Linked DNA regions of Ovis aries. The protein of the gene in region 3 interacts with the protein of the main gene of each other region in a pairwise test. Links are inferred from orthologs where the notes say so. Each region holds a gene or a part of one and is shown on either strand. Other genes may lie near its edges. The genes, in order: CREM, ATOSB and FHL5.

The links.
Region 1: the proteins of FHL5 (region 3) and CREM interact in a two-hybrid assay, tested with the Homo sapiens proteins (2 studies listed by BioGRID). The link is inferred for Ovis aries from reciprocal best matches to the Homo sapiens genes FHL5 and CREM.
Region 2: the proteins of FHL5 (region 3) and ATOSB interact in binary tests that used the Homo sapiens proteins (3 or more experiments, as listed by UniProt). The two-hybrid records come from large-scale screens. The link is inferred for Ovis aries from reciprocal best matches to the Homo sapiens genes FHL5 and ATOSB.

What each region holds. Positions count from the first base shown.
Region 1 is NC_056066.1:17,619,413-17,629,762, forward strand, and holds the start of CREM (cAMP-responsive element modulator), read right to left. Parts: upstream 6,380-10,350; 5' UTR 6,147-6,379; intron 1-6,146.
Region 2 is NC_056055.1:53,357,687-53,368,036, forward strand, and holds the start of ATOSB (atos homolog protein B), read left to right. Parts: upstream 1-4,349; 5' UTR 4,350-4,466; intron 4,467-4,840; exon of another isoform or gene 4,841-4,981; intron 4,982-6,568; exon of another isoform or gene 6,569-6,699; intron 6,700-9,117; exon of another isoform or gene 9,118-9,428; intron 9,429-10,350. UniProt on the Homo sapiens protein: Transcription regulator that may syncronize transcriptional and translational programs.
Region 3 is NC_056061.1:40,494,465-40,504,814, forward strand, and holds the start of FHL5 (four and a half LIM domains protein 5), read right to left. Parts: upstream 5,493-10,350; 5' UTR 5,380-5,492; intron 1-5,379. UniProt on the Homo sapiens protein: May be involved in the regulation of spermatogenesis. Stimulates CREM transcriptional activity in a phosphorylation-independent manner.

The DNA.
Region 1 (10,350 bases), on a different chromosome or scaffold from region 3:
GTTTCTTGGGCTGTGGTTTAAGAAAGATTTTAGCTCTTTGGGAAAGTAGGAGACCCTCACACGTTAACTATGATTTAAGTAGCAACAGTAAGGTTTGGAAGAAGATAGGAGAAGACTATGAAGTTCATAAGGTAAAGCTGGTTCTTCTCAACCAAGTCAATTAAAAAGTTGGGGAAGGGCAGGCTAGCTAGAAAAGAGAAGTACAGTTGACCTTTAAACAACGCAGGATTGAAACAACATGGGTCCACCTATATACGGATTCTTTTCAATACATATATTGGAAATTTAGGGGAAACAGGCAACAATTTGAAAAAACTCTCAGGTGAAACTCATAGCCTACAAATATTGAAAATATTTTTTAAGAAAAGGTATGTCACGAATGCATAAAATATACAGAGATTCTAATCTAGCTGAACATAGGCATAAGGTGAGTGGTAGGCACTTAATATAGCGTGTTAGTTTTCTTACTCTTTCATAACATTCAGAGGGTTACATGACCATACAGTATGCCTCACTCTCATAATTGGAGAAACTGTCATGATAGGTGAGTGTTTTGATTTTTTAATGTAACAATGTTTCCAATACTGTATTATAAATGACTGTAATATTATATGTCATAAATTTCTACAATGATTCATTCATTAGTGTATAGCCTAGGCTACTGTGCCACTGTCAATGCATGAATCATTATATCTATAAATGAAACAAAATTTCTTTTCATATTACCTTTTCATTTTTGATGTCTAGTGTTAGGAATACATAATAACAGCTACAGTGTTTTGTTATCACCTAAGATGGTACTGATGTACTGACAAATGATTCATCTTGTCAATTTATAGTACTGATAAATACAGTACAGTCCTATAAATGTTTCTCTTCCTTATGGTTTTCTTGATAACATTTTCTTTTCTCTAGCTTCTTTATTGTAAGAATATAGTATATAATACAAATAACATACAAAATACATTTCAATTGACTGTTTATGTTATTGGTGAGGTTTCTGGTCAATAATAGGCTATTAGTTAAGTTTTAGGGGAGTCAAAAAGTATATGGGAATATTCAGGGGTTAGTGCCTCTAACCCCCATGTTGTTCAAGAGTCAACTTCAATTACCAAAAGCCATATATGTGAAGTTGACAGGGATGATCCTATGATTATTATGTATTTTTAGGTGAAGATGAGTACAGGAAAAACAAAAAATACAGTAGTAACAGGAAATCATGCCACTTTAACTTTTTGTAATTTTTGTGAAGCAAAATTAGAATAACCTTCAAATAACAATTTTTACACTTCTCTGTAAAAATATAAGTGGTCAGGAATAGTTTTTGTAAATAATTATTTGAAACACTTGCAAATACTGTCTTTACTACTTTGAACATGAATCACCCAGAAAATCAAGCAGCATTCTAATACAGATTCAAGACCACCCAGTTTAATTGCTTCAGATACCTATTATGCGTGCGTGTATGCATGCTCAGTCACTCAGTGGTGTGCAATCCCATGGGCTGCAGGCTGTCAGGCTCCCCCTTTTCCATGGAGTTTCCCAGGCAAGGATACTGGACTGGGTTACCATTTCCTCCTCCAGGGGATCTTCTCAACCTAGGGACTGAACCCATGTCCCCTGCATCTCCTGCATTAGCAGGCAGATTCTTTATCACTGAGCCACCTCAGATACCTATTATTATTTAAGAAATATTAACTCTTTACTAAAACCACCAAAGGATTAAAAATTATTCAAGCATCTCATTCTCAATTCATTCCCCCCTGGTGCCTGCTTTTGTCTATTTCAGTCAATGAACAGCAGATCTGCTGCTAAGGAGGAAATGAAAAATGAAATTCAAATAATCATGGCCTATTTCCTTGTCTCCAAGTCCCCCTTCCCTGCTCCAGCTCCAATTCATGAAAGGAAACAAAACTTTCAGTCTTTTGGGGAAGTTATTGCTTGACTAATAATCACTGTAGGGTTTTTCAACAGCATGCTCCATTGCTGCACTTTAGGTATATTTCAAAAACACTTACCTACATTTAAAGTACAACTGCATTGACCACTAACTAGTAAATTTGGGAAAGAGTAGGTAAGACACTGGATTTAGCTAAAGTTTATAGAAATGAATTTCAATGTTGTGATACTCAGGTTGGTCCTATCTTGTGTATACGAACAAAATTAGTGTCCAAGTGCAGACACATGTCTAAATAAATTAAACTTCACTCCTCCAATAATTTTAAGAAATGCAAAAGCATCCCAAGTGTCTTTATGCATGATACATAGTTGTCCCAATGCCAGAACTGGAAACTTTCATGACAATCAATGCTATGCTATAAATTACTAAGCATTTCTAGGTAGAAAAAATAATTTTTGTGCTATCAGTGGAAAAAAATTGAAGCTGTTTGAGAATGTGAACAAAACTCTATGACATTTGACATTCTGAGTTAGGATGTTCTAATTTTAAGTCTGCTGAGTTTAAAACAAAACAAAAACAAAAACGTTCATTAAGATAACTTTGAAGAAACTGAGTTTATTTTCAGGAATCCTCAAAAGTAAAAATATTAGAATCACATGAACCCCACTGTTACAATTTAGCAGAATTTCATTTTGACATTTGTTCAGAAAGTGTGCGTGAAGCTGCTTCTCATTTGGGGAGAGAGACTTCAGGAGAGCCTCACAAAAAGTTGCTAGTAAGGTTTTCTTGGAGGCAAGCCTCCTTCCTCACCAGGGAGACAGTTATTTTAAACAGTTCCAAATAACCTTACCAGCCCATGCTTTTCAAAACTGTTTTGCGTGCACCTTGCCAATAATTTCCTATAATACTCCTGGGATGGTCAGTCAAGAGATTTGCAAAATAGGTATTTTTGAAATTTGCTATAACTGAATTATACCATAAGACTCAACTTGTCTTCAGTAATGTCATCCTTACGTTATTCTCTTCATTCTCTCTTACTTTTTACTGGATATCCTATAGCATCATTAAAAGAAAACCCATGAATGAAAGATTTAAAAACAGGGCACTGTTTATTGTGCAATTCTCATGGTAAAAAGTATTTTACATACTTTGTGTGCTTTAAAAGGGAATTAACAAAATGATTTAAAATGTATATCTCAGTTTCTTCAAACTTATCTACATGTGTATAATGGGTGAGAAACACTTCCCCTGAAATCTATATTTTTACAATGTATATACCTGTACTGATAATATTGAAACTGGATTCAATGTAGGACACTAATTCTTCTCAAAATTGACTTTTATATGGGTTAACAGCAGTCTCATTAAGTAGAAAATTAACAGGATTCAATGACATTTCAGGTTTATTTCCTTAATGACCACTACTGATTGCATGTCAAAACATCAATGGTGCAGTTGTTAAGTATTTGCATTGTTCAGTTTTATTTTTCAAAGTTTATCTAAATAGGCCATGACATTTGAGCACATTCCCCAGTTGAACTGGCCCAATATTAACTTGTAGAGAACACAAGGGTGGAGAAAACAGGATCAGGAATATATGTCTATACTGATAAAAGATTCAGTCAGGACTCCTTTTGTATGTTAACCTGAACATACTTCCCTGCTGCTGCTGCTGCTGCTAAGTCACTTCATTCGTGTCCGACTCTGTGTGACCCCATAGACGGCAGCCCACCAGGCTCCGCCGTCCCTGGGATTCTCCAGGCAAGAACACTGGAATGGTACTATTCATGAAATGTCCTTAATTCTAAACATGATTTCATATTTTAAACATACAATGATTTGTCTCAGTGGGAAACTAGTCTATGGAGTCTGGAATTTGTTAAATTCACCAGATTTCAGGAAAGCTTCTGGGGCAATAGGGAAACAGAAAGACTAAAGCGTTCTTCTTTGTTTACACATTCAATAAAAATTTATTCATACACTATTACAAAATGTGCACACAAAACATCCATGTAATTACAACTTCACACTCACCAAAGCAACTCCAGGTTGAAGACCAAGTCATTGTGCAAGCATTAGTTTACTCTTAACTATTTTACAGATGCACCAAAAATGTCTGTGTCATTACCATCACTTAACATGACAGTTTTCATTCCAATCCCAAAGAAAGGCAATGCCAAAGAATGCTCAAACTACCGCACAATTGCACTCATCTCACATGCTAGTAAAGTAATGCTCAAAATTCTCCAGGCCAGGCTTCAGCAATACATGAACCGTGAAGTTCCAGATGTTCAAGCTGGTTTTAGAAAAGACAGAGGAACCAGACATCAAATTGCCAACATCTGCTGGATCATGGAAAAAGCAAGAGAGTTCCAGAAAAATATCTATTTCTGGTTTATTGACTATGCCAAAGCCTTTGACTGCGTGGATCACAATCAACTGTGGAAAATTCTGAGAGAGATGGGAATACAGACCACCTGACCTGCCTCTTGAGAAACCTATATGCAGGTCAGGAAGCAACAGTTAGAACTGGACATGGAACAACAGACTGGTTCCAAATAGGAAAAGGAGTACATCAAGGCTGTATATTGTCACCCTGCTTATTCAACTTCTATGCAGAGTACATCATGAGAAATGCTGGGCTGGAAGAAGCACAAGCTGGAATCAAGATTGCAGGGAGAAATATCAATAACCGCAGATATGCAGATGACACCACCCTTATGGCAGAAAGTGAAGAGGAACTAAAAGCCTCTTGATGAAAGTGAAAGTGGAGAGTGAAAAAGCTGGCTAAAGCTCAACATTCAGACAAGGAAGATCATGGCATCTAGTCCCATCACTTCATGGGAAATAGATGGGGAAGCAGTGGAAACAGTGTCAGACTTTATTTTTTGGGCTCCAAAATCACTGCAGATGGTGACTGCAGCCATGAAATGAAAAGACGCTTAATCCTTGGAAGGAAAGTTATGACCAACCTAGATAGCATATTCAAAAGCAGAGACATTACTTTGCCAACACAGGTCCGTCTAGTCAAGGCTATGGTTTTTCCAGTGGTCATGTATGGATGTGAAAGTTGGACTGTGAAGAAAGCTGAGCACCAAAGAACTGATGCTTTTCAACTGTGGTGTTGGAGAAGACTCTTGAGAGTCCCTTGGACTGCAAGGAGATCCAACCAGTCCATTCTAAAGGAGATCAGTCCTGGGTGTTCTTTGGAAGGGCTGATGCTAAAGCTGAAACTCCAATACTTTGGCCATCTTATGCAAAGAGTTGACTCATTCGAAAAAACTCTGATGCTGGGGAGGGACTGGGGGCAGGAGGAGAAGGGGACGACAGAGGATGAGATGGCTGGATGACATCACCGACTCGATGGATTTGAGTTTGGGTGATCTCCGGGAGTTGGTGATGGACAGGGAAGCCTGGCGTGCTGCAGTTCATGGGGTTGCAGAGTTGGACACGACTGAGCGACTGAACTGAAGTGAACTGAGTGGGGAAAAAGTTCCTTTTAAGGTCAAAGATTTAAAGACTGTGACTGATGAGGGGAAAGCAGCTTGTTACTCAAAAGCAGCATGGATGCCAAAGATGTGGTACCCACAGGGGAATAACCAGAGAACACGACCTTCCTGTCTTCTAACACAGTCTTCACCTTGGACCTCCAGCCCTGCGCATCTCGGTTTGTGTTTATTTGCAGGGAGGGTGGCTGCACTCCCAGGAGCCCGGCGAATGAGGCGGGGAAGCCAGAGGTGTTCGGAAGCTGCTTGGGTGAGCCGCTCGGTTACGGGGCCTCCGGTGTGGGCCGAACTGGTTCCGCCAGGCGGCATCGCTCACCCTCGGGCCGGCCGACCGCCGCTGCCCGAGCCGCGCAGGGAGGGAAGCGGCTCACACTATGGATCCAGGTCCGGCCGTCCGAGGACGCTCGTCCCTCTGAGTCCGCGGTCGGGTCCGCGGTCGCCTGGCTGGCTGGTCCCGGCGCCAGCGGGGCACGGGGAAGGAAGGTAGCGCGCCTTCCAGAAGCACCGCTCGGGGTCTCGGGTAGCGAGAATTGGGGGCGGCGGCTCTGGCGAGCGAGCGAAGCCGACCGACCCGCGTCGCCCGTCGGCCCTCCCCTCCCAGGAGCCGGAGCGGCGGCCCTTCGGAAAAAGCCCTTGAGGTGCGCGGGGCAAACGGCCCCCGGCTACCCGCTCCGCCCCGCCTCGGCTCCGGCGCCGCCGCCTCAGGCCCCGCGGGTCCCGCCGGCCGGCGCGCCACTTACCCGCAGCGAAGCGATTTACGTAGCGGACCTCGTCACTGCTTACGGACGCGAGGAGGTGGGACGACGAGCCCCACCGGGACCGCCGCCGGCCCACGTTGCCCCACGTCAGCGCTGATGCGGCCGCGGCCTCCCCGCCGAGCGCGATCCAACTCGGCGTCGCAGCCGCCCGCCCGCTCGCGGCCTGGAGTCCGCGCGTCCACCCGCCCGCCCCGCTCCGCGCCCGTCCCGCGCCCGTCCCTGCCCAGTGGACGCCGGGGAAATCCACGCTCGAACCCCGCCCCCTGCCGGCCGCCTGTGGGAGTGCGGCGCCGACAATCCAACAATTGAATGGAACGGGGCGGGGGGGAGGGGATGAGGGGCGGGGCCTGAGGGCCTGGGAGGAGGGGTCTTAGGTGGGGAGGAGGGAGCCAGGGGCGGGGCCGGGAGAAGGAAGTAGGCTGGGCGGGGAAGAGGACCGCGTTGCGGGCGGGATCTGCGGCTGTACTGAAAGAACCGGAAATTGCTAGGTGGCACCTGCTCTCGGAAGTCAGTCCATTGGAAACTGCTAACCCAGGTGGTGCCGTTGTGTGTGCCGAAGTGGCTTCCCTTTGGATTGTCCCCAGCTGCCAGACGAGGCCCGGGAGCGCATCCTACGGACACCACCCCGCCGCCTCCGGCCACGAGCCCCGGAGGCCCCGCCCGCCCGATCCTCGGCGACCTTGTCAGGGTCCTGGGGTCCCCATTTGGTGATTTCGCGGAAGACAGGAAGGCTTTTGGGCAACAAGCAAAACCCCCGCCTGGAAGAGGGGAGAGTTTCGTTTTCGCCTAGCTGGAAACCCGGGGTTTTCTAGTAATAGGGGCGGTCCCGGCTGATAAAACGGTCACCTATTGTGTACCAGGAACCCTGTTATAACGGTGACCCAACGCCCGACCTTAGGTTCTCAGGAGTGGGTCACACCGAGAACTGCCATCAAGGACACTATTTGAAAAGTTGCTGAGTAAAGAAAATAAGAGCATAAGCCACGTAGTGCAGGTGGAGATGGGCAGCTTTGAGAAATAGTAGGATCCCAGTGCGGTTCTTCCGGAAGGGGAGAATCCTGAACTGTTCAGTGCCAGATTATTGCCATTCCGACGTACTGGCAGCAGTAAATGCCTGCTAGCAGAGATGACAGGGTAATAACGTGGTCGGTTCACGTTCTCCTTTCCACATTAGCAGAGCTTTGAAATTCTTCCAGGACAATAGTCGATGCCTGTCTCCTCCTCCTGTTAAAAATGAGGGACATTACAAAGCTAATAAAAAAGTTAACCAAGTCCTTTTCCTGTGTGTGCTGAGGTAAGGCTGGCACAGGGTATTTATTCGTAAGTAATCAATGAAGCTCATTTTAGTTCAGAAAAAAAAAGAGAGAGAGAGCCATTGGAAGGAATGAGAAGGAAAAAAAGACCAGAATGCTAAACCTGAGAAGTCATAACCTTTGTTTTGATCAAGGTTGACCATGTGCTGGAAGAATAGATTTTTAGCTTCCAGTGATTTATGGGGAATTGTAATCCCTGGAGAATCCCAGGGACGGAGGAGCCTAGTGGGCTGCCGTCTATGGGGTCGCATAGAGTCTGACATGACTGAAGTGACTTAGCAGCAGCAGCAGCAGCAGCAGTGATCACTCTCCTTCCCAAAACATTGTTCTCCACCTACTTGTTTATCACTAAATTTTTTTAAACAAAGTATACATTCTTTGTAGATAGAATCCATCAGACAGAGGGCTTCAAATGCAAATACGAGTCAGAGGGGGCTGAAAAGCATTTGTAGCCCGTTCCAGTGACAACTCAAGACAGAGACCCTGTATCACTGTTGTTCAGTTGCTAAGTCGTGACTAACTCTTTCAGATCTCATGGACTCTGCAACTGTGGCACTTCAGGCTCTTCTGTCTTCTGCTGTCTCCTGGAATTTGCTCAAATTCATGTCCATTGAGTAGATAATGCTATCCAGCCATCTCCTCCTCTGCTGCCCCCTTCTCCTTTTGCCTTCAGTCTTCCCCGGCATCAGGGTCTTTTCCAGTCAGCTGGCTCTTTGAATCGTGGCTTCAGCTTCTTCAGCCTTAGTCCTTCCAGTGAATATTCAGGGTTGATTTCCTTTGAGATTGACTGGTTTGATCTCCTTCCAGTCCAGAGGTCTCTCAAGAGTCTTCTCCAGCACCTCAGTCAGAAAGCATCTATTGTATCCTTAGGAGCTTTCATAAGCACCACTTAACATGCCCAAATAGATCCAAGTGACCCAATACTGCCTTCTGGCTTTTTGTATTAATCACTTTCCTGAGTCTTCTCAGCCCCATTCAGCCCCTCCCTATTCTTCCATTCTCCTTTAAAACACTCAATCGCCTCTCTAAATTTGATGTTGAATTCAGTTCAAGCTAGATTCTTTTTTTCTATTGCTATAGTAGATAGGGGGCTTCCCTGGTGGCTGAGTGGTAAAGAATCTGCCTGCCAATGTTGGAGACATAAGAGACACAGGTTCGATCCCTGGGTCAGGAAGATCCCCTGGAGTAGGACATGGCAACCCACTCCAGTATTCTTGCTTGGAGAATCCCATGGACACAGGAGCCTGGCAGGCTACAGTCGATAGAGTCACAATGCGTTGGACACAACTGAAGCAACTTAGCACACAGATGCATAGTACATAGGTGATTAAAACCACTTTCACTAGTGTTAGCTTTATCTGACAAGTCACAGGAAGCTGTTAAATCATTAAATATCCAATATCCTTGCAGTCAAGGATGCAAGGATACTTCCCACCCATGAAGGCAGGAAACAGTCTGATTGCCCTTCCTTTCCTTCTCTGACTTTCTTCATTGGAGAGATTTTTTTATACCTGCCACCTCCCCTCCCTTTCCCAACATTTAGGTCCACCATGGGTACAGTGTTCTCCTTCTGTCATGCTGTGCTTTCCTCATAAATCTCACATGTATGCCTTCTTCCATATCCACACCAGTGCCTTCCTCATCTATATCTCTGCCTTCCTCTTGCACCCCACACCTATGGCTTCCTGTTATTCCTCCTACCCCCACATCTTTGCCCATACTCTCTTTAGTTTCTCCTTTTTTTCCTTTTTGACTACCATTTAGTTGCTAGAGAAGAACATCAAAAGCACCTTTCTTCCTTACTTTCTCTGATTCTATTTCATTTAGAAAGCTAGAACACATATCTAATCATGTTCATTATGGATTTTTGCATTAAATATTCTTTTTAAGTATTACATTCAAATGTCATTTATTTTGATTACTGAGTTCTTGTGCCATCATAAATTCTGTGCCCAACATGGGTTGCTCTCTCCTATCATGGTATCCCAGGCTTGATCTGTGACTTATATTCAAATTTTGTCAATTTTCCCAACATTATTCTCAATAACTGTCTTCTCCCATCCATTATCCCATTGGAGTCATGCATTGCACTTATCTGTTTATATCTCTTTATTCTGGAACTATTCTTCAACCTTTTTTTTCTCTTAACCTTGATATTTTAAATGGAATAGTTCAGTTATTTTGTCAAAGGGTGATTTAAAAAAACTATTTATGGAGAACAGACTTCAAGGAGAACAATCAATAGAAATTACCTTATGGGTTAAATAGGCTTCATGGTACTATTATTTCTACTGTTTTTGTCATGGGAAAATATTTTTCCTTCTAAACAATTTCTCATCAAACTTTTAGAATATAGTTCATCTATAAATTTGATGTTATGTTCAAATTCAGAGATTAATGAATTGGTGATAAAATGTCCCTAACTAACTGACTGATGATGATCAAGATAGGATTTTTTTCACTCTTAATTTCTGGAACAGGCCACGACAGGGCTTTTGCATATGCCCATTCCCTCTGACTATTATGCTTTTCCCTTTTCTTTTTTCCTCGTTAATGTCTATTCATTCTTCAGAGCTTAGCTCACTGTGTCTTGTTCAATGAGGCTTCCCTTTACTTGGCAGACTGAATTCAGCCCCTTTAACCATTTATGTATCCTCATTTTATTAGATTCATCTGTTGTAGCACTTATCATAAGTTTAATTAAGTAATTATGTCATCATGTATTTAAAGCCCATCTCCCTTGCCAGAATGTAAACTCCATGATGACATCTGTCTTCTCCAATGCAGTTTGCCTGATAACTTCTGAGTTATTCCTTAATTCAATAATAGGGAGAAATGATATTATGGGTAACATCAATACAGTTGCATCCTCA
Region 2 (10,350 bases), on a different chromosome or scaffold from region 3:
CACCCAGAAAGTCTACTTGACAAAATAAAATCTCCTTGTTCTGTTTTAAAAGATCAGTGTGCTTAGAGTCACCAAATTATTATTTTTCTGTTGGTCCTAAAGTAAAAAGGTTCTTGTAAAGATTCACAACTCTTACTAAATAAGGGAATGTTGACATTATTTGGAACAACAAACAATTATAAAAAACCTGTTTTATCTGTACATTTAATGCAATCCTAATAAAAATCCTAGAAGATATGCATGTGTATGTGTGTCTATGAAAACTGGCCAGCTGATCCTAAAATTTATACAGAAATGGAATGGGCTGAAAATAGTCAATATAATCTTATGATCTTGAAGTTGGAGGATATACACCACCACATATCAACGCAGTAATTAAGACAGTGAGACAATGGTGCAAGGAGGGACAGGAACATATCATATATTATTAACATGTGTTTTATGAAAAACAGACATTGCATAGAAAAGGGGGAAAGGATTGTTTTGTTCATAAAAATCATCCAAAACTTGGAAACGCTGCAAAGAAAAGACATCAGGGGCAGCCAAAGATTACCCAGGCAACAAACTTTTGCTTTACTCATGATGTGTTATTAAGGGCTAACTCTGCGTACTACCATGTGTAAAATAGGCAGCTAGTGGGGAGCTGTTATACAGCACAGGGAGCTCAGTTCGGTGCTCTGTGATGCCCAAGAGGGGCGAGAGGGGAGGCAGGGTGGGAGGGAGGCTCAAAAGGAAGGAGATATATGTATAGATACAGCTGATTCACTTTGTTGTACAGCAGACGCACAACACTGTAAAGCTCCAATAATAAATTTTAAAAAGGAAATTACCCCCCAAATAAATAAACAAACAAAAATTAAAGGCTAATTCTGTGAAGTCATATGTTAACGAATAGATTTTTGTCTGGTGATGATGCAAAGGATTTCTGATTATTAGAAAACGTTATGGTGTTACTATCCTGTAGACACTAACTACCTTTATATCTAATCTAAAATCTCATTTTAGCACTCTTTTTTCAAATGCCTGTGAATACCCAGGATGGTTAATTTTATGTGTCAACTTAACTGGGCCACAGGGTACCAAATATTTGGTCAAACATTATTCTGGATATGTCTATAAGGATGGTTCTGAATGAAATTAACATTTGAATAGGCACACTGAGTAAAGCTTCCTTTACTCAGGAAGGGCTTCCCTTGTGGCTCAGCTGGTAAAGAATCTGCCTGCAATGCCGGGGACCTGGGTTTGATCCCTGGGTTGGGAAGTCCCCTGGAGAAGGGAAAAAGCTACCCACTCCAGTACTTGGTCTGGATAATTCCATGGACTGTATAGTCCATGGAGTCCGAAAGAGTAAGACAGGACTAAGCAACTTTCACTTTCACTGAGTAAAGCAGATTGCTCTCCCTAATGTGGTGGGGCGGGGGAGGGTCCTCATCTAATCAGTGGAAGACCTGAATAGACAAAAGAACTGAAGAAGAGAATTTCTCTCTGACTGACTTCCTTTGAGCTGAGACATTAGTCTTTTTTCCTACCAGTGGACTCGAACTGAAAAATCAGTTTTGCCTGGGTCTTCAGGCTGCCGGCTTTCAGACTGTAACTATACTGGCATTTTTCTTGGTTCTCAGGCCTTTGGACTGGAACTGGAACTACACCATCAGCTATCCTGGGTCTCTGGCTTGACAGCTTGGGACTTGTCAGCCTCTGCAATACTGTGAGCCAACTCCTTATAATAAAACCTCTCCATTTGTATATCCACATATACACACACCCGGAACTCTGACTAATATAATCCCTAATTTCCTCAATTGCTCATCACACATGCTTTACCTGCTTATCTTTGATATATGTTCATTCTAGCTTCTTGTAAGAATCTTGCTCTTAACTTTTTGGAAATTGTACTATAACAGTTTTTGTAAAAGTTTCTGGTTCAACTAAATAACCATATGAGGGAAAAATGAATCTTGACATCTATTTCACACTATACATGAAATCTATTCCAGATGATTAAATAAGAGGTAAAATAATAAAGTTCCTAGACAATAACCTAAGATAATACACTCATTTCCAAGTAGACAAAGACTTTTAAAATAGGGCATAAAAACCATTGAATATAAACAAAAAGATGTAAACTGGACAGGTTAAAGAAGCTCTGCATATTGAAAGACTCCACTAAGAGAATAAAGTCAAGCTACAGAATGGGAAAATGGATTTGCAATAGATTCCTCATCAGAAAAACATCAAACAAATTCCAGCTGAAAGACATTCTACAAAATATCTGAAATATCTGATCAATAAAATTGTCTATAAAATTGCCCAGATCATCAAGAACAAGGAAGTCTGAGAAAATATCAACGCCAAGAGGAGTTTAAGGAGACATGAAAACTAAACCTAATGTGTTATTCTGGATGGGACATTAGGTAGAAACTAAGGAAATCAGAATAAAGTATGGACTTTAATGATAATGTATCAGTTCAGTTCAGCTGCTCAGTTGTGTCAGATTCTTTGTAACCCCATGGACTGCAGTACGCCAGGCCTCCCTGTCCATTGCCAGCTCCCAGAGTTTACCAAAACTCATGTCCATTGAGTCAGTGATGCCATCCAACCATCTAATCCTCTGTCATCCCCTTCTCCTCCTGCCCTCAATCTTTCCCAGCATCAGGGTCTTTTCAAATGAGTCAGCTCTTCGCATCACGTGGCCAAAATATTGGAGTTTCAGTTTCAACATCAGTCCTTCCAATGGACACCTAGGACTGATCTCCTTTAGGATGTATCCTAAATACATATTTACATGTATTGATATATATAATGTATCAATATTGGTTAATTAATTATAGCACATGTACCATACTAATGTAAGACATTATTAATTGTGGAGAACAAAGCAGAGAATTGAGTGTGGGGTACACAGAAACTTTCTGTACTATCTTCACAAATTTTCTGTAAATCTAAAATTATTCTAAAATGAAAAGTTTATTTTTAGGGATTTTCCTGGTGGTCCAGTGGTTGCCCTTAGCCTTTCAATGCAAGGGGTGTGGGTTGGATCCCTGGTGGGGAGCTAAGATTCTGATGCCTCCCACCAAAACATCGAAAACATAAAACAAAAACAATATTATAACAAATTCAATGAAGACTTTTAAAATGATCCCGATAATAAAAAACCTTTTTAAAAATTTATTTTTTTAATCTAGTAATTTACCCAAATTTAGCTAGTAATCAAGTAATTTGCCCAATACAGCTAGTATAGTGTCCTTACCAAACCAAATGACTTCAAATTTGAGCTTTTTCCATGACACAAAACTCTTCCAATTTTACCCTCTATAAGGGGACGACAGAGGATGAGATGGCTGGATGGCATCATCGACTCAATGCATGTGAGTCTGAGTGAACTCCGGGAGTTGGTGATGGACAGGGAGGCCTGGCGTGCTGCGATTCACCGGGTCGCAAAGAGTCGGACACGACTGAGCAACTGAACTGAACTGAGCATTACAGAAGTATTAGAAAGACAATCTGAGCAGTTCCGTAAGAGCAGAACATTTTTTTCTTTTTCTGTTTTCATTTTGCCTAGCGCACCATTGGTGTTTAGTAAAGCCGCTTCTTAACTACTCACAGAAAGAAAGTCACAGAGATCTAAAGAATCTGAGACTTTGAGATAACTTTACCAGGTCCAGTCCATCACACAGCCATCAATACCTCCGACTCCATCGAGAAGCTCACTAGGCTCTGGGCTCAGAGCCACTCGGCTCTGCAAGGGACCTGGGATGCCATCTACCGGTGGCTCGTAAGCGTCGCTCTCCCCTGGACATATCTTGGGAACTCGTGGGGCTCCCGGGAAGTTGAAGACTCAAGCGCTAATTAAATTACAGAACGTGTGTAACAGTCATACAGGTTCAGTCGACTGAACAAAGCAAAGGCTCTACTTTGGCTCATAAAATTCACAGACTTCTCGCCGACCTACCTCCACAGCTATAGACCTAACTCTTACTGCCTGTCTCCTACACGCCGTAGGCTACAGAAAGTGCTCTTCCTCACAGACTTGAGACCCCGGCCAACCAGATTCCCGCATTTTCACAGAATTCTGAAGCTCTTTGCACTACTTTGCAAACCCTACAGATCTCCCCCATTAGGGCAAATACGCGCGCTAACCCAGATGCCTTCACTAAGAGGCTCAAGTTCCGCAGGCAGCTCACACCAGCTCGAAAGCCTGGGATGGCTCCAACCTGGTTCGGGCGCCCACAAGCAAGCGCTTTGGCGCAGGTTCTGGCTCCCCATCTCCGGCCGGATCCGGTCAGCCCAGGCCGCACACTGCGGACTGAGGCCCCGCCCCTTTAGACCTGTCATCACAGAAGCCGCACGTGGCCGGGGTGGGCCCTCAGGCGACCTGCAGCCATCACTTTGTCTCCTCCGCCATCCACTGGGGCCACCGCCGCCAATCAAAACCAGCGGTTCCGGGCTGCAGCGCCAGCGCCGGGGTGAGGCCAGCCAGAGAAGGGGCGGGGGGAGGAGAGGCTCCGAGATGGGAGGGGGCTAGCAGTGGAAGCGAGCCTGGCACCGGTTCTGCCAGCCTGGAATCCGAGGGGGCGGATCCTAGTGAAAGGCGAAGACCAGAAGGGGGCGGGGATCAAGGATGGGGCGGGGACCGGGGTGGGACGAAAGACAAGCAGAGGTTCTCTGTGGAGACGCCAAGAAGACGAGAAGGGGAGGAGCCAGAAAGGGGCAGGACCTGAATTACAGGGGAGGAGCCCCAGGAATTAAAGAATCTAGGAAAGGGGACGAGCCAGGGGAAGGTGGGAGGTGGGACAACGGAGAGGGTGGGTCGTGTCGTTGCGGGGGCGGGGCTCGGACCAAAGGGGCGAGGTTTGCAGGCCGAGGCTGCAGCTAGGGCAGCTATGTAACTGCTCCAATCCACTACCTCCCCAGTTGCAACGGGACTCGCGGAACTACAGGTGTGGGGCGGGTGCGCGTGGAAGAATGGACAAGTACGGGGGTGCGCTTGGGTAGACGTGAAGCGGGAGGATCATGTCAGGGAAGGAAAAGATCTGGAGAAATGCTGGGGTGGGGATGGAGTAAAACAGCTGGAGGAGGAGGAGGGGGGCTCACTGGGCTAAGAGGTGCTTTCTCCGGTACCCCTTGTGGGGGAAGGGCGGGAGTGCTTTGTGAGGCTGGGAAGTACAATGTGAGGGGGTGAGGTGAAGTGAAGGGTTGGAGATGATACTTGAGGGGGAGGGGATATGAAGGCGCTTTAGGGGAAAGTGGAGGGGGCGTTGTGTGATGGAGATCGGCTAGTGGTCCAGAGTGTGGGAGGGACTGTGTGGAGGAAGAAGGTGTGGGGGCTGTGGGCACTGTGTGAGGGGAAGGGGTTACAGGCCCCAGATGAGGAGGGGAGAACCCCTAGTGCCTTGAGAAAGTCTGGAGGCTTTGTAGAGACTCCAGGAAGAGGTTTTTGTACAGTGTCTCAGGGATGAGGGTGATGGGATTACTCGGGTGAAGAAGCCAGTCTGCAGTGTTCCTGGCTCCTCAGCTCCTAACTCCACCTTCAGGCCTGAGCACTCAGAGAGGATGCAGGCCCCACTTGCTACTAGAGCTTGTGTGACTGTCTCAGTCAGCTTTGGATCTGTCTGGCTGAGACTGGGATATTTTTCCCTTAGCTGGTGTCCCTGGGGACCCTTCCCCCCTTAGGTTCTGGGTACCCCTCACTGTAGTTCCTGTTCCTCCTAGAAGCTTGCCTTAGTCCCTGTCTTTCCCCTCCTCCCCCAGTTTGCCCTGCCCTTATGCTCTGGGTGTGCTCATTTCCCACTTCCTTCCTCGCCTGGGGCCTGGCCTGGTCCTTGCCTGTCTAGGAGCTGTGCCCTGCCCCAGACTTTGTACTCAGTGGCCAGAGACCTAGGTAACCAGCAGCAAGGCCCAGACCTCACCCTCACTGCTACCAAGGTCTCTCCCCACAGCCCCCCAAGTGAGTGGTAGATACCTTTTTACCACTTGCCACAAACTGATTTCTGCACACTTTTCCTTCTCCTGGGTAGGGAACCCTAATTCCCTCAAAAACTCTGGGCTTCTGTGGGAGAGGGAAATGGTCAGAAGTACTGAGGGTCTGCGATGCATGCTTTGAGAGGTCAGCCACTATTGTTGGCTGAACTGGGAAGGGAGGTTCCAGTTTCCACTGGGGGAGGGACAGGGAATGGCTCCCCACCCTCCTGGGTTGGAATCTGACTATCTGAACCAGACTAGGGCCTAGTCTCTGATTCCCTGAGGCGACTTGATTTAGCGCCAGACTTCTTTTTGCCCCTGGGCAGGCTGCAAGAGGGTGAGAAAGCCCTGCTTTCCACACCGTGGCTGAATGAGAGTGACAGTGTTGCTGAAAGGGGCCCCAAGCCAGTCTCCTCTGGCTGAGAGACTGGCTGGGGAGGGAGGGGGTGCCAAAGCCAGACAAAGCCGTGGGGTAGGGTGGGGTAAAGAAGGGCAGGCTGAAGCCTTTTGAGGAGGAGCTGATTGCTATGGCAACACAGCTTCCCAGATTGTCTCTCAGAGAGGCGGGCTTAGGGCGGACTCACTCCAGCTTCCTCAAGATTGTGGCATTTGTTTGAGTGGGTGGGGCATGAAGAGAAAGGGCATTGGTTTGCTATGCAGGGGCTGGAGTATATAGACTTTCTACTTCCTTACAAGCAGCAGAGCATCCAGATGCTTGGACCCATCCTCTGAAAATGGGTAAGAGTGAACAATAGCCATTAGGATTATAGCAGTATAAGGTCAGAGTTCTAGAGGCCTCAGTGGTAACTGTGTATACAAACTCATTTTACAGATTTGGAAATTAAGAAAGAAGAGACTGATATTTTCTCCAGGTCTCATAGTGAAAGACCAGGCATTGGGACCCAGGTCTTCTGAATACTCTTCACTCAGCCCAGGGGTCAATGTTTCGTTGAGCCAACATTTATTGAGCACCTATTATGTGCCAGGCACTGATACTGATTCTGGGAGTACTAGCATGAATACAACAGAGTTGCAGCTCTCATGGAGCTTGTATTCTAACCCAGGGAGAAAGAAATGTGTGTGTGGCTGCAGAGGGAGAGAAAGGAGAGGGAGGGGGAAAGAGGAAGAGAAGTGCCAGCTGGTGATAACTGCTATGAAGAAAAATAAAGCAGAGTAAGAATTTAGGGCAGCTAGGTAAAGCCTCTTGATTGTACAACGCTGCTTGCTCTCCCAGAGCACACTGAGGCCTAGGACGTCTTTGATCCTTCCCCCTGAACTACTGCCCCTAGACTTTTGCAGATGACTAAGGTCTGGGCCTATGGTCTTGGCAGTTAGATAGAACACGGTGGGGTCACCAAGGGGTTACTTCTTTCCTACAGTGTTGTATGTCTACCTGTCTTCCCAGTAAGCTTTTACTAAGGTAGGTAGGCTCTTAGATTGCTACTCTGCAACTTAGTTCAGGTTGTTGAAAATTCCCTAAATCCTGTTCCTTAGCATTAGGGAACCAGCAAGGAAGTCAATCCATGGCAACTTCTTTTTCAGGGTTTTCCCCCTGGTTTGAGATGAAGAGAAAGGAAGCTAGAGGAATTGTTACTCTTTTGTCCTTCCTAAGTCCAGGGCACAGTGAGGAAGTAGGTGAAGAGAGCCTCATTCTACTGTTCAGTGACAATTTCAGGGCCCTTGGGGCCTGCACTACAGGCAAGGTAGAAACAAGGACCTTGGGGCTTTGGTGGCATCTGAACTACAAAAGAATTCACTCCGCTCTTCCAAAGATATGGCCAGGGAGCATGCCCTGCCTAATGCCAGTTCTCCAGGGCCTCAGTTTGGGTCTTCCCTTCTTTGGCTCTGGTGTTTGGCTCTTTTTCCTATGGAAGACCCCAGTCTTAGCAACCTCTTAAGTTCCAAATTGTCTGACTTCACAAGTGCAGAGGGAAAAGTAGACAGGACTGTTTCTTTTCTTAGCTTGCCCATAGATCAGCCCCTCTAAAAAGTGTCTTTTAATGTCTAATCCTTGCAAAGGTTTCCATCCTGCTCATTTAAAGAACAGGGCTTCCCAGGTGGCGCTAGTGGTAAAGAACCCACCTGCTGATGCAGGAGAGACATAAGAGATCCCGGGGTCAGTAAAATACCCTGGAGGAGAGCATGGCAATCCACGTCAGTATTCTTGCCTGGAGAATCCAATGGACAGAGGAGCCTGGCGAGCTATAGTAATAAGAGAATATGAATTAGGAATGCTGGTTCTGCTGCCACTTAATTTGGTTGGGTCTAAGCTGGGCTTGGGGCCCAGTGACTCAGGAGGAGGGTGGGGAGTTTCGAGGGAGTTGTGAGTCATGGGGGTGAGCTCTGTCACAAGAGTTGGGCATGTTTCCCCTTACTTTGGGCAGAAGCCTTCCGATCTCACTTTCCCTGGGTGCTCTGCCTCCTTGAACAGGGGCTTATGAATAGAAAGAGTACTGGCAGAAAGACTGAAGCAGTTTGATCTGAAAATGAAAGTTTAAAGACATAATGATGTCTAGGTTCCTGAACTAAAATGTATCCCTATCTCAGGAGCCCCTGAAGCCTTCTAATGTAGGCAAAACAACATCAATATAGAGTAAAAGAAGGAAAAATACCATTTCTCAATGGAAGGAGATGAGATCCCTCTTCAAGACCTTTTTATCCTGGCACGAAGGAAGCTTCCTGAGCTTCAGCAGCCCTGTGGTCTCTGGTTTGCAAGGCACGGAGAGATGATGGGAGTGGGGATATTTGGAATCTAGTGTTGGAAGAGCAAGCTGACTTTGGGGATTGTCGAAATTTGTCTATGAACTCCCTAGGCCGTCCTATTAACCTTCCTCTGAAGAGGAAGGGCGCGGTGAGAAGTGGGAGCCCGACGTCTTTGAAAGGGTTAAAAGGCAGGGCTGAGAGCTGCTTTGGACTCGGGCAGTTGAGGGGTTAAAATGGGCGGGGCAACCCTAGGTAGGCCTGCCCCCTTATGGACCAATGGACAGGCATCTTTTGAAGGGGGCGTGCCTCACGCTTGAGGCCGTGTGGAGGCTGGCCTCCTTTAGGCCAATGAGTATGGTCGCTGCGATGGGGGCGTAGCTTGAGGGGGGCGTGGCGGCCTCGAAGGCTGCCGCGGGGGTGTGAGGGGAGCTGGGCGGGGCGGGCTGCCCCATCAGCTGGTAGGAAATGGCCTGTGAGTCAGAGGGGCAGCGGAGTCGGCTTCGCGGAGCCGGGGCGGCCACGGAGAGGGACAGTCGCGGGGAGGGGCGCGGCAGCGGCTTGGGGGCTGCGGGCGCCAGGACCCGCTAGTGTTGCCCAAGAAACTGAGCAGGGAAGAACCTAGCAGTGCAGGACTCAGCCTGAGCCACCCTTTGTCTGGGTTGGGGGCCCGAGGCGGGGAGGACCGGGCATTCGAGGGGAGGGACCGGGACTGGACGGAAGGGCCCGGAGCAGCGGCGCCGCGGCGGAGCCAATTTGGGAACGGGGTGAGTTTGTGGTAGGGGAAAATAGAAAATCTCCGAAGCTCCAATAGGGAATGGGGCCTGTCCCAGGTTGTGAGGAGGAGAAAGGTGAAGCAGGACCTGGGAGGCTAAATAGGAGGAGAGGGAATCGGTCAGAACAAGGAGTCTTAGAGCCCGGGTGCTGGAGTGAGTCTCCTGGGCTCATTTTGGAGGAGGTGCTAAGATTTGCTTCCTCTCCAGGAAGGGTGGAGGGCTCTAGGCCAGAGGCAAGGGGTTGGTGAGATAGCAGAGGGTAACCTGCCTACCCACAGTAGTAGTCCTTGGGAATGGCCTCCCTAGTTTGTAGATGCTTGTGAGGACAAAATGTAGAGCAGCTGGTAGCAGTCCTGTCTGAACTGGGTGAATGTGGAAAGCACATGGAGAGGAATTCTTCTTGCCACCTTCCTTGATCAGGGTAGAAATGGATATCTTTAATACTAAAGGGAAAGGGAGCGTAAGCCTGGGAGCTCAACACCCACCTATCCCACCTCTCAGGCCTAGCAGGTGTCTGAAGGTACAGACCCCATGGTATTCTGGGACTTGTTGTTTTTGCTGGCCTTGCTCCCTTGGCATGTTGGGAGCTGTAGTCCTTGCCAGCCACAGCCTGGCACAGCTGTTTGATGCCAGCTGCTGCCCACCCCTTCCCAGAGTGAGATTTGGCCTATCCTGCCCCTCCCCCTCCCCAAGTCCTGCCCCATGAGTCAGCTTGAAGCCATGGACTAGAGCCAGACTGGCTGGGTGGCAGGGAAGTGAGTCTTAGAGCTTTTCATTGACAGGGCAGGAACTGAGAGGGCTCTGGGGTAAAGAGCAGATGCCAGTCATGCTGGGGTCAAGTAGGGCATCATGTCATCATGATGCTTCCCCAGGGCAAGGGCTGAAGAGGTCAACTGGGATGACCTAGGGCGTG
Region 3 (10,350 bases):
GGAAAAGGTCAGTTTTCATTCCAATCCCAAAGAAAAGCAATGCCAAAGAATACTCAAACTACCGCACAATTGCATGCATCTCACATGCTAGTAAAGTCATGCTCAAAATTCTCCAAGCCTGGCTTCAGCAATACGTGAACCATAAACTTCCAGATGTTCAATCTGGTTTTAGAAAATGCAGAGGAACCAGAGATCAAATTGCCGACATCCACTGGATCATAAAAAAAGCAAGAGAGATACAGAAAAACATCTATTTCTACTTTATTGACTATGCCAAAATCTTTGACCGTGTGGATCACAAGAAACTGGAAAATTCTGAAAGAGATGGGAATACCAGACCACTTGACCTGCCTCTTGAGAAACCTATATGCAGGTCAGGAAGCAACAGTTAGAACTGGACATGGAACAACAGACTGGTTCCAAATAGGAAAAGGAGTACGTCAAGGCTGTGTATTGTCACCCTGCTTATTTAACTTATATGCAGAGTACATCATAAGAAATGCTGGTCTGGAGGAAGCACAAGCTGGAATCAAGATTGCCGGGAGAAATACCCATAACCTCAGATATGCAGATGACACCACCCTTATGGCAGAAAGTGAAGAGGAACTCAAAAGCCTCTTGATGAAAGTGAAAGAGGAGAGTGAAACAGTTGGCTTAAAGCTCAGCATTCAGAAAATGAAGATCATGGCATCTGGTCCCATCACTTCATGGGAAATAGATGGGGAAACAGTGGAAACAGTGCCATACTTTATTTTTGTGGGCTCCAAAATCCCTGCAGATGGTGATTGCAGCAACGAAATTAAAAGACTCTTACTCCTTGGAAGGAAAGTTATGACCAACCTAGATAGCATATTCAAAAGCAGAGACATTACTTTCCCAAGAAAGGTCTGTCTACTCAAGGCTATGATTTTTCCAGTAGTCGTGTGAGAGTTGGACTGTGAATAAAGCTGAGCGTTGAAGAATTGATGCTTATGAACTGTGGTGTTTGAGAAGACTCTTGAGAGTCCCTTGGACTGCAAGGAGATCCAACCAGTCCATTCTGAAGGAGATCAGCCCTGGGTGTTCTTTGGAAGGAATGGTGCTAAAGCTGAAACTCCAGTACTTTGGCCACCTCATGCGAAGAGTTGACTCATTGGAAAAGACTCTGATGCTGAGAGGGATTGGGGGTAGGAGGAGAAGGGGACGACAGAGGATGAGATGGCTGGATAGTATCACCGACTCGATGGACATGAGTTTGAGTGAACTCTGGGAGTTGGTGATGGACAGGGAGGCCTGGCATGCTGCAGTTCATGGGGTCGCAAAGAGTTGGGCATGACTGAGTGACTGAACTGAACTGATAGAGGCTAAATTATTCAAGGTCTTGTGCTCAGGGCTCAGTTGCTCAGTCGTGTCCAATTCTTTGCAACTCCATGCGCTGTGGCCCTCCAGATTCCTCTGTCCATGGGATTTTCCAGGCCAGAATACTGTAGTGGGTTGCCATTTCCTTCTCCAATTCAGAGTCTTAACTAGTAAGAAAAATAACTTGTGCTTAATACTTATTCTGTGCCAGACACTGTTGTAATTTTAATATAACACATTTGTTCCTCATTTTAAACCTGAGAAAGTGTTACACTGTCAGGATCTTCATTTCGTATGAAAGGACAATGACACACACATGCACACTTGTGTGCGCACTAAGTGACTCTTCTAAGTTATCAGATTTAGTGAGGAATACAACAGAGATTTGAGCTCCAGCCAATCTAGCATGAAACGTATGGTCCATGAACCAGTATTATCAGCATCACCCGGGAACTTGTTAAAAATGCAACAACTGAGGCACCAACCCAGACCTACAGAATCAGAATATACATTTTAACAAGGTGGTTCCTGAGCACTTTAAAGTTTGGGGACTTCTGCTGTAACCCACTGAACTCTGCGACTTCTCTTTAACTTTGAGAAGGAATCTGGACATTATCCTAAGGCCAGTGGAGAGTCAGGAAAAGGCTTGAAGTAAGAGATAGTCAAAATAAATCTATTTTTAGACCAATAGTTTCACGTCAATGACTCTGGCTTCAGTATGGGGAGTGAAGCCAAAGAAGGCAATTCTGGAGGCAGGGAGACCCATGAAAGGACTACTGTTCACCAAATAAAGGAGGATGGCAGCCTGAAATAGGGTTATGGCAGTGACAGAGGAGGGAAGCTGGTGAGTGGATGAGGTAGTGTCAACAGAATTTGGAGATTCTTTGGGTATATAAATTGAGGGAGAGGTGGAGTCAGTTCACCTCCAGGTTCTGGCTTGAGCAACTGGTTGTATCATGGTGTTATTTTCTGTACGAGGATACTTAGGGGAAGCAGGGTGGGAAGTATGAGAGGTGGTTGATGAGTTTACTTTTAGATTAAAATGAGACTTGAGAGGACTGTGGGAAAGTCAAGGAGAGCTATTGAGTCAGGTCCGAAGAGTGAGTGCGGGGAAACCACACAAATTCCTTGGACATTTTGAAAAGGATCCCAGGGCAAATTATAGGGCAAAATTTCTACCTGGCTTGCCCTTCATGTCCCTCCACTTACTCCATTGTATTCACTAAGGTCTACACCTGCTCTGGGAAGTCCTATATTCAGCAGACAATCAGACATAGAGGTTTGTTGCTCAGGAAAGATATCTTAGCTGGACATAAAGATTTTGGACTCCTAAGAATATAGAATAGACTGTAACTGAAGCTGTGACATTGCTCAGAAAGAGAAAAGGAGTCTAGGATATAGGGAAGAGGAAGAGGAATCTGTGAAACTGACTGAGCATAGGTGGGAGAAAAACTAGCAGTTGGACATCATGGAAGCTCTGGGTAAAGAGTGTTTCAAGATGGGAAAAGTGGAGATGAAGGTAAAATGGTTCTGAAACAGCACAAAGAGAATAAGAAAGAAATTTCTGCTGGATTTAGCAATACACTAGTGATTGATCACCTCAGTGAGAGCTGGGGAAAACTGATGAGGATCAAAGCCAGACAACAATAGACTGAGAAGTGAGGGCTAAGAAAGTGGGGATTCTTTACAGTGTAGACAATACTTTCAGAATATTGATCTATAAAGCTTAGGAATGAGGGTAAACTGGAAAAGCTTGGTAATGAAGCAGAAGCTTTTCAAGATGGGGGATTTGAATATGCTTAAATGCTGAAGAGAGGAGCCAATAAAGGAGGAGAGATTAAAGTCCGGGATCCCTGAAGTAGAGGAGATGAGATAATGGGCACTGGTTTAGATCTTTCCTTTTATGCCCCAATCTACCAATAGGTCGGTATGGGGATTTGGGAGAATGGCCAGAGAATAGGGAGGCCCCGCTTCAGTCACCTGTTCCACATTCTGGGGTCTCTAGAGGCTTAGTCCTATCACCTTTCCATTCTAAGCCTTAGTCTCCACAGAAGAAACTTATGATATTTGAATCTTCCACTTTTATATCAGTAGACATGCTATCCAGAACAAGTATGACTATGGATTATGTATCTGCTTCAAAAATTAGCCCTTAAATGTCATCTTCAGCTAAAATCTTTGCCTTAACCTTACCTGTCCTTGGGTAAATTGAGAGAGACAGACATACTTCCACCTTAATCCGTTTAAAGATTGCATAAACCCACCAACTCCAGGTTTTGTGGAGAATAGTAGTTCCTAATCAGGACACCTCAAGAATACTCAAGAACAGGTTTCAAGAGTATATCAACCCCAGAACTGTTAAGGGAAAAAAATCTATATACAATGTGCTTTTTTCCTTCTGAGACATGTCCGTTGATTCTCAGATTGTTAAGAGAATCTGTGATCCCAAGTCTAATGTGGAGATAGTGCTCAAGCTGATAATTTTGGAGGGATTCGAGCTGTTATGGTAGGAGGGAGTCCCGTATCCTCTTTCTCCTTCCCCTCCTATTCACAATTCCTTCCAGGGGGCCAAAAGGTAACCAAGAAAAATGATGACAATCAGAAAGGATAATGAGAATTACAAGAACATGGAAATGTAAGGTTGTTTAACTGACATCTGATTCAGAACTTTGCATGTGAACCCAAGTATTTGGTTTCCAATTCTAAAGAGGTCATTTCCTAGATTGAAAATGTGAAAAAACAAATCTAAGCTTATGCAGCATGTTCTAGAAAAAAATTTATCTTCAATATTGTAGTAGAAAGTTGCTAGCCTCGCTTAAGGAACCCCAATTAATCCAACTTTACTCAGAATGTTGTTGGCAAATATAATAAAAATAAGAGGTAGATTTGTCAGTGAGGTGATGTTACATTAAAGCACAAATCTGCTGCTCTTGTTTAGGTAGAACAGTCCCAGAATTGGCAACTAATGACAACACATGGGAATAAATAGAACAAGTGTAGAAAACAGATGTCAGAGTTTACCTTTCCCACCAAGCAGTTTGGAGTATGGCTTTAGGCACAGATCATAACAAACATGTTAATAAATATCCTGTGCGATGTGTATATCTGCAATTGTTTGTGCTAAATTTTAACCCATGTATGTTGCTAATAAAAATCCTAGAACCTATACATGATAATATTGTGAATGTGAAATGACAGCTAAAATGACTTGTTATATTTTATTTATAAGAATTACACATTTTATTAATGATTCTTTTTGGTTCCCACATTTCCAAAACCCAAATTGACAAGTTGAGGTGTTGCATTTGGTTTTCAAATGGATGACAGACACCAAAAAGAATCTGATTAGAGAGGGAAAAAGTATAAACACATATGGGAACCATACTTCTGCTTTCATGATACTATCTCAGTTTCAAGAAGCAATGCTTTAGATTCATTTAGCATATTACACATGGGTCAGACACACAGATATTTTAATTCAATCTTAGAAAGCCTAAGATTAGGAATTGTCTTTATGCCTGCTTGTGAAAAATAGGCAGTTTTTCTTTTTTTTTAATAGCAGGAATCTCACTAACTCAAAATCTGTAAATGACTTTAAATTGTGCTCTGGATATATAAATCCAGCCATAAAATATCCTTAGTGATAAAGTTAGTCATTCAAATAAATTAAGCCAATTAAAACCCCAGAATCAAGTCATTCCCTTTTTTATGAATACAATGAAGCTGTATCTCCAATTACAGACAATTTTCAGAACTCAGGAGACAACTCAAGAGTTATTTGGCTACTATGTTGCCTTTATACACATGGCATCAAATTGAGAAATCTGAAAAGCTCAGCATATAAAGTTTGATAACTGCTGGCTCAAATGCCTTTTAAAAAGTTTCTAAGAAACTTCAAGATATATCTTGCTTGCCAAGTAAAACCAAGTCACCACAAAGTTTCCTTTAAGTAGCAATGAGAAAGTTTATAAGACTCTCCCACACTTAAAAAAAAAATTAGAAATGCAAAGACAACATTAAGGAGAAGAAAACAAAACTTACTTTTTCTTAAAGCCTCTTCCAACAGTTTAAACAGGATGAAAGGAGAATATACGATGATTTACACATTCATATGTTACCTCCAAGAGGTACAGAATGGGCCACCAAAACTATCTGAGGGTCCCTCCCAACTGCAGCCTTTTTAACTTTGTGGAAGAAAATAGGAGGGTGTGTGGGTTTCCTCCAAGTCTTGTGACATGTACATAGCTGACTCCTACTGGGCTGAAAAAGCACTCGTCAATTTTTACTTAAAATTATGAGTAGCAAATTCTCTGCGGGACATCCTTAAAGGGAAATCCTGCCAGAATTAGTACATGAAACGTCTAGATAATCTCCAGAAAGTTTAAAATATAAAGTGTACATACAGACATTCACATACACTCAAGAAATTCCCACTGCATAGTCTAAATTGAGGGTATATTTAAATTAAAAAAATTTTTCTATAAAGGATGATGTATTTCCTGTTTTGTGTGTGTGTGTGTGTGTGTTGTTGTTGCTGTTATTTCAGTGACAGAATCCTTCTTATGGGTTGCTGTGTGCTGTGCTTAGTTGCTCAGTCATGGCCGACTCTTCGACCCCATGGACTGCAGCCTGCCAGGCTCCTCTGTCCGCAGGGATTCTCTCCAGGCAAGAATACTGGAGTGGGTTGCCATGCGCTCCTTCAGAGGATATTCCCAACCCAGGGATCGAACCCAGGTCTCCTGTATTGCAGGCAGATTCTTTACTGTCTGAACCACCAGGGAAGCCCCAAAATACTGGAGTGGATAGCCTATCCATTCTCCAGGAGTTCTTCTCATCTCAGGAATCAAACTGGAGTCTCCTGCATTGCAGGCGGGTATTTTACCAACTGAGCTAAAATCAGATCTTCTTATAGGTTAGAAATGGACAAACTACAGAGATTTTCTGTTGAAATATCTGGAAAGAGATGAGGCCTGATGTTCTCACCTGTAGCGTTTTTCGTAGCTTGAGAGATGAATCGTGGGGTGTGGCCTCTATCACTGCCTTCCTGGGAAACTGGTGAACTTTGAACCTTAGACTTGACTCGGATAACTCAAAGTAGTTAACCTGCTTCTTGCACCTGTACTGTGGACCTGGCATTCCCTGCTTCTGCCTCTTTCCCTCTGAGCTGGCAACAATTGTTACGTCATGCCCATGGCAGTATGACTTCACTTAAGCACAGACTCAGCCTTTTGAAATCTGAAATCAAAACTTAAAAAGTGGCCAGATGTTTCAGGAGATGGATCTAAAGAAATGTTTGAATACTGAACTAATCTACAACAGGAATTCTGTGGGTCATATTTATCTGTAAAGCAGGTGACATTTACTTTTAATCTCTCTGTTTAAGGCCATTTCTTCAGTTTGTAAAGGTGGGTGAGGAAGGAAATGTTCTGCTTTAACTCCATCTATTCCCAGACCAAACTTGACCTGTCCTTGTTCCAGGTGCCAAAGAAATATGTTAGTGTTTTCTGAGGTCAAACTCAGTTACATACAATCAAAAAACCTGAGCTAGGGAAATATATAAAAGCAATCAACTCAGTGCCTTGTTATTCACCTGACTTTGATGATAAAGTTATTATAAAAATGAAAACATTGTGATGAGCAGCAACAAATTGATTCAGTGAAAGGACAAAAGAACATTCAAACTATTATAAAAATTCAATCTAACATAAAATCTATTACTAGTAATAGCTTTTAATTCTCATGATGCCACGGATAGACCGGCATTAATTTTCTCCTTTTAAAGGTGAGGAAGTAGAGTCCAGGAGTTATAAAGTCGCCTATGTCCCCATGTAGTTATGGAACCCTCTTTATTGCCCCCGTGTTTTCCTGAGAGGGTAATCTTCATTCACGCATCCAACCTAAGATCCTCCTGCTCCATTCTCAAACTACTCCACATAGCTCCATTAAGCTCATAAAATATCTTAGTTAACACTCTAAAGAGTAACTGTCTTTGATCTTACCTGAAATTTCTCATCTCTGCCATGTCCATTTCTTTTTGAAACTCTCTTTCCTTGGTTTCACTAAGTCATTCTCTCCTAATTTTCTCCTTGGGCTTAGCATCTTCAACCTCCTTTCCCTTTATTCACCTCACTCTTCCCTAGAATTTCATTCTCAGTTCAGAATGCTTCTCTACCCTCTCCATGGATTTTCTCATGAAAACAATTAGCAATATATTATGACTGCTAAACCTGTATTCTCAGCTGGTATTGCTCTCTAAGGTTCTAGGCCTGTATCCTGTGGTCTCTTCGCTGTCTTTGCACAGAGGTCCATAGGCATCCCAAACAAACACCTTTATCTGTTCCCCACCTCCCACTGTACAGATGAGGTCTGCCGCATTTCCTGTCTCAGGACATGGCACCGTCACCTAACCCATCGTACCTTGGACTTCTCACTTTCCTCAGTTAGTCTCCACCATCCCCATCCTCAACTTCTGGTGGTTCTACTTTGTTAAATATTTCCTAGATTTGTCATTATCCCTGCATTCTGGCCCTCGCATTTCTCACTTGGATTGTTGTTATCAGTCATAAAACATTTGGCGTCTGCCTCAATCTAGTCCCTTTCTATAATTTCTTTGTATCACTATAAAACAATATTTAAAGATATGTTTATGGAATTATAAAATACACGCTTCTTGCAGAAAGTCTGAAATAATGAAAAACATTGTTTAAAATGACTTGCAATCCAAGAGACAGTCACAATTCACTCAAATATCTTTGAAATATTCTGTATGCATACATGTAGCTATACAGGAAATGTTTATGAATTTTCATGCAAATACTTACACAGCTATAGTTAAATATGTTTAATAAGAAAATCAAAACCACACTGCATATATCTTTTTTACTTAATATACTGTGATTTTCCAAATCAAATATTTTTGAAGTGGCTGCAAATAATGGCTGCAGCATAATGAAGTATGTGATGGAATAACGCTTCCTCTTTTTTTCTCTATGATCTGTTTTCTTCAACATCAAAACTTAGCCTCAGCATTTATAATTTATGACTCACAAGACTTAGATTCTGGTGGGAAAGAGAGAAGAAAAAAAATAGAACACTCTTAAGTTCATTAATTTAAACTTAAACATTTAATTTAAGGCTGCACTTTACTAGTAAGACAGTTTAGTAGGAAAACAATTTGCTAAAATGATTTTTTCTTCTTTATAATGAATAATAGACAAAGGAGAAAACCTGTGGGGATTTTGTCTTAGCTTGACTAGTCAGAGAAAGGACTTTTCTTTGGTGGAAGACTGCCTCCTTTCCTTGAGAGATGTATCATCCACACTTCTCTTCTATCAGAGGCTGGGGGGAAAAGATTTGTACACGTTTTTAAGTTCACATTTTACTTCTCAGGAGACATTGATCTCACAAGTAATACATACATTTTAAAGGATTTTGGCAAACTGTCAAACTGCCTTTCAGAATGGATGATCCTTTTAAAAGACAATCACCTCGCTTCCCTGGTTCATCTTTAAAGGCAACCTCTTGCTTTTAGGAGAATGGCTAACTTCTCAGCTTAGCATGTAAGCCATTTTGTGATTCCTCCTCCTCTAGTCTCTCCAGCTTCTTCTTACACTACTTCCCAAATCATTTTTCATATTTCTCATACTTTAGGAATTCCAAAATTTCTCTTCATATTATCTTAGTAGTCTGGAATCTCCTTTTCTCTGCCCAGAAATGCCCTTACCAGGCTAGTCCTACTTTTCTCAAGAGTCACCTCCAGCTGGTTCAGTTCCCCTCCCTGCAGTGCAATACAATTTGACTTTCTTCTCCCATTACATCCTCTGCTTGCTGCTCTCCAAACACTGTATTGAACTGTAACTGTTGATTCTTGCCATCACCTTGAAAGCAAGACACAAAATTTTTAAGATTTGTATTATTATTCTTTGTACTTAGTTGTCTTACAGGATCCAGGAGATTATTGAGCCAAGGATTGAAACTCACCATGTCCTCCCTTTCCTCCATCACACCCCAGTATAATCCCTTCCTTCCTGCTCTTCAAACATACATCCAGGTTAAGTCTTACTACTAATCGTTGAAGAGGAACAGAAGTGCAAATAGAGACAAGCCTGGTAACACAGATAAAACACAACACTGGGAACTTTAAAAAATTTAATACCTGTTTAATGTAGTAGTTCCTTCTTTTTGTGTGTGATGTAAATGGAATAAACAGTTTTTGAAGACCCAAAAGTCAGGCTTTCTTTCTTAACGATTTGGAAAAAGTCTGACCTGGGTTCTTTTTTTAAAATTTATTTATAGTTGATTTACCATGTTTCAGATATATAGCAAAGTGACTTTTTAATGCTATATATATGTATATATATACACACATACATATTATATGTGTACACATACACACACAGATACTTCCCTGGTGGCTCAGATGGTACAGAATCGGCCTACAATGCAAGAAACCCGGGTTCGATCCCTGGGTCAGCAAGATCCCCTGGAGAAGGAAATGGCAACCCACTCCAGTATCCTTGCCTGGAAAATCTCATGGGCAGAGAAGCCTGGCAGGCTACATAGTCCATGGGGTCACAAATAGTTGGACACAACTGAGCGACTAACACTAAAACACATGCACACACAAATATATACATATATATTTTTCAGATTTCCCCCCATTGTTGGTTATTATCAGGTATTGAATAGTTTCCTGTGCTATACAGTAGGTCCTTATTTCTATTTTATCTGAAATTCCTAACTTATCTCCCCTCTACCCACTGCTATACCCTCTGGTAACCATGAGTTTGTTTTCTATGTCTGTGAGTCTATTTCGGTTTTGTAAATAAGTTCACTTATATGGGCTTCCTGGGTGGTACTAGTGGTAAAGAACCCAACTGCCAATTCAGGAGACATGAGACTCGGGTTTGATCCCTGGGTTGGGAAGATTCCCTGGAGGAAATGGCAACACACTTCAGTATTCATGCCTGGAGTATCCCATGGACAGAGGAGCCTAGAGGGCTACAGTCCATA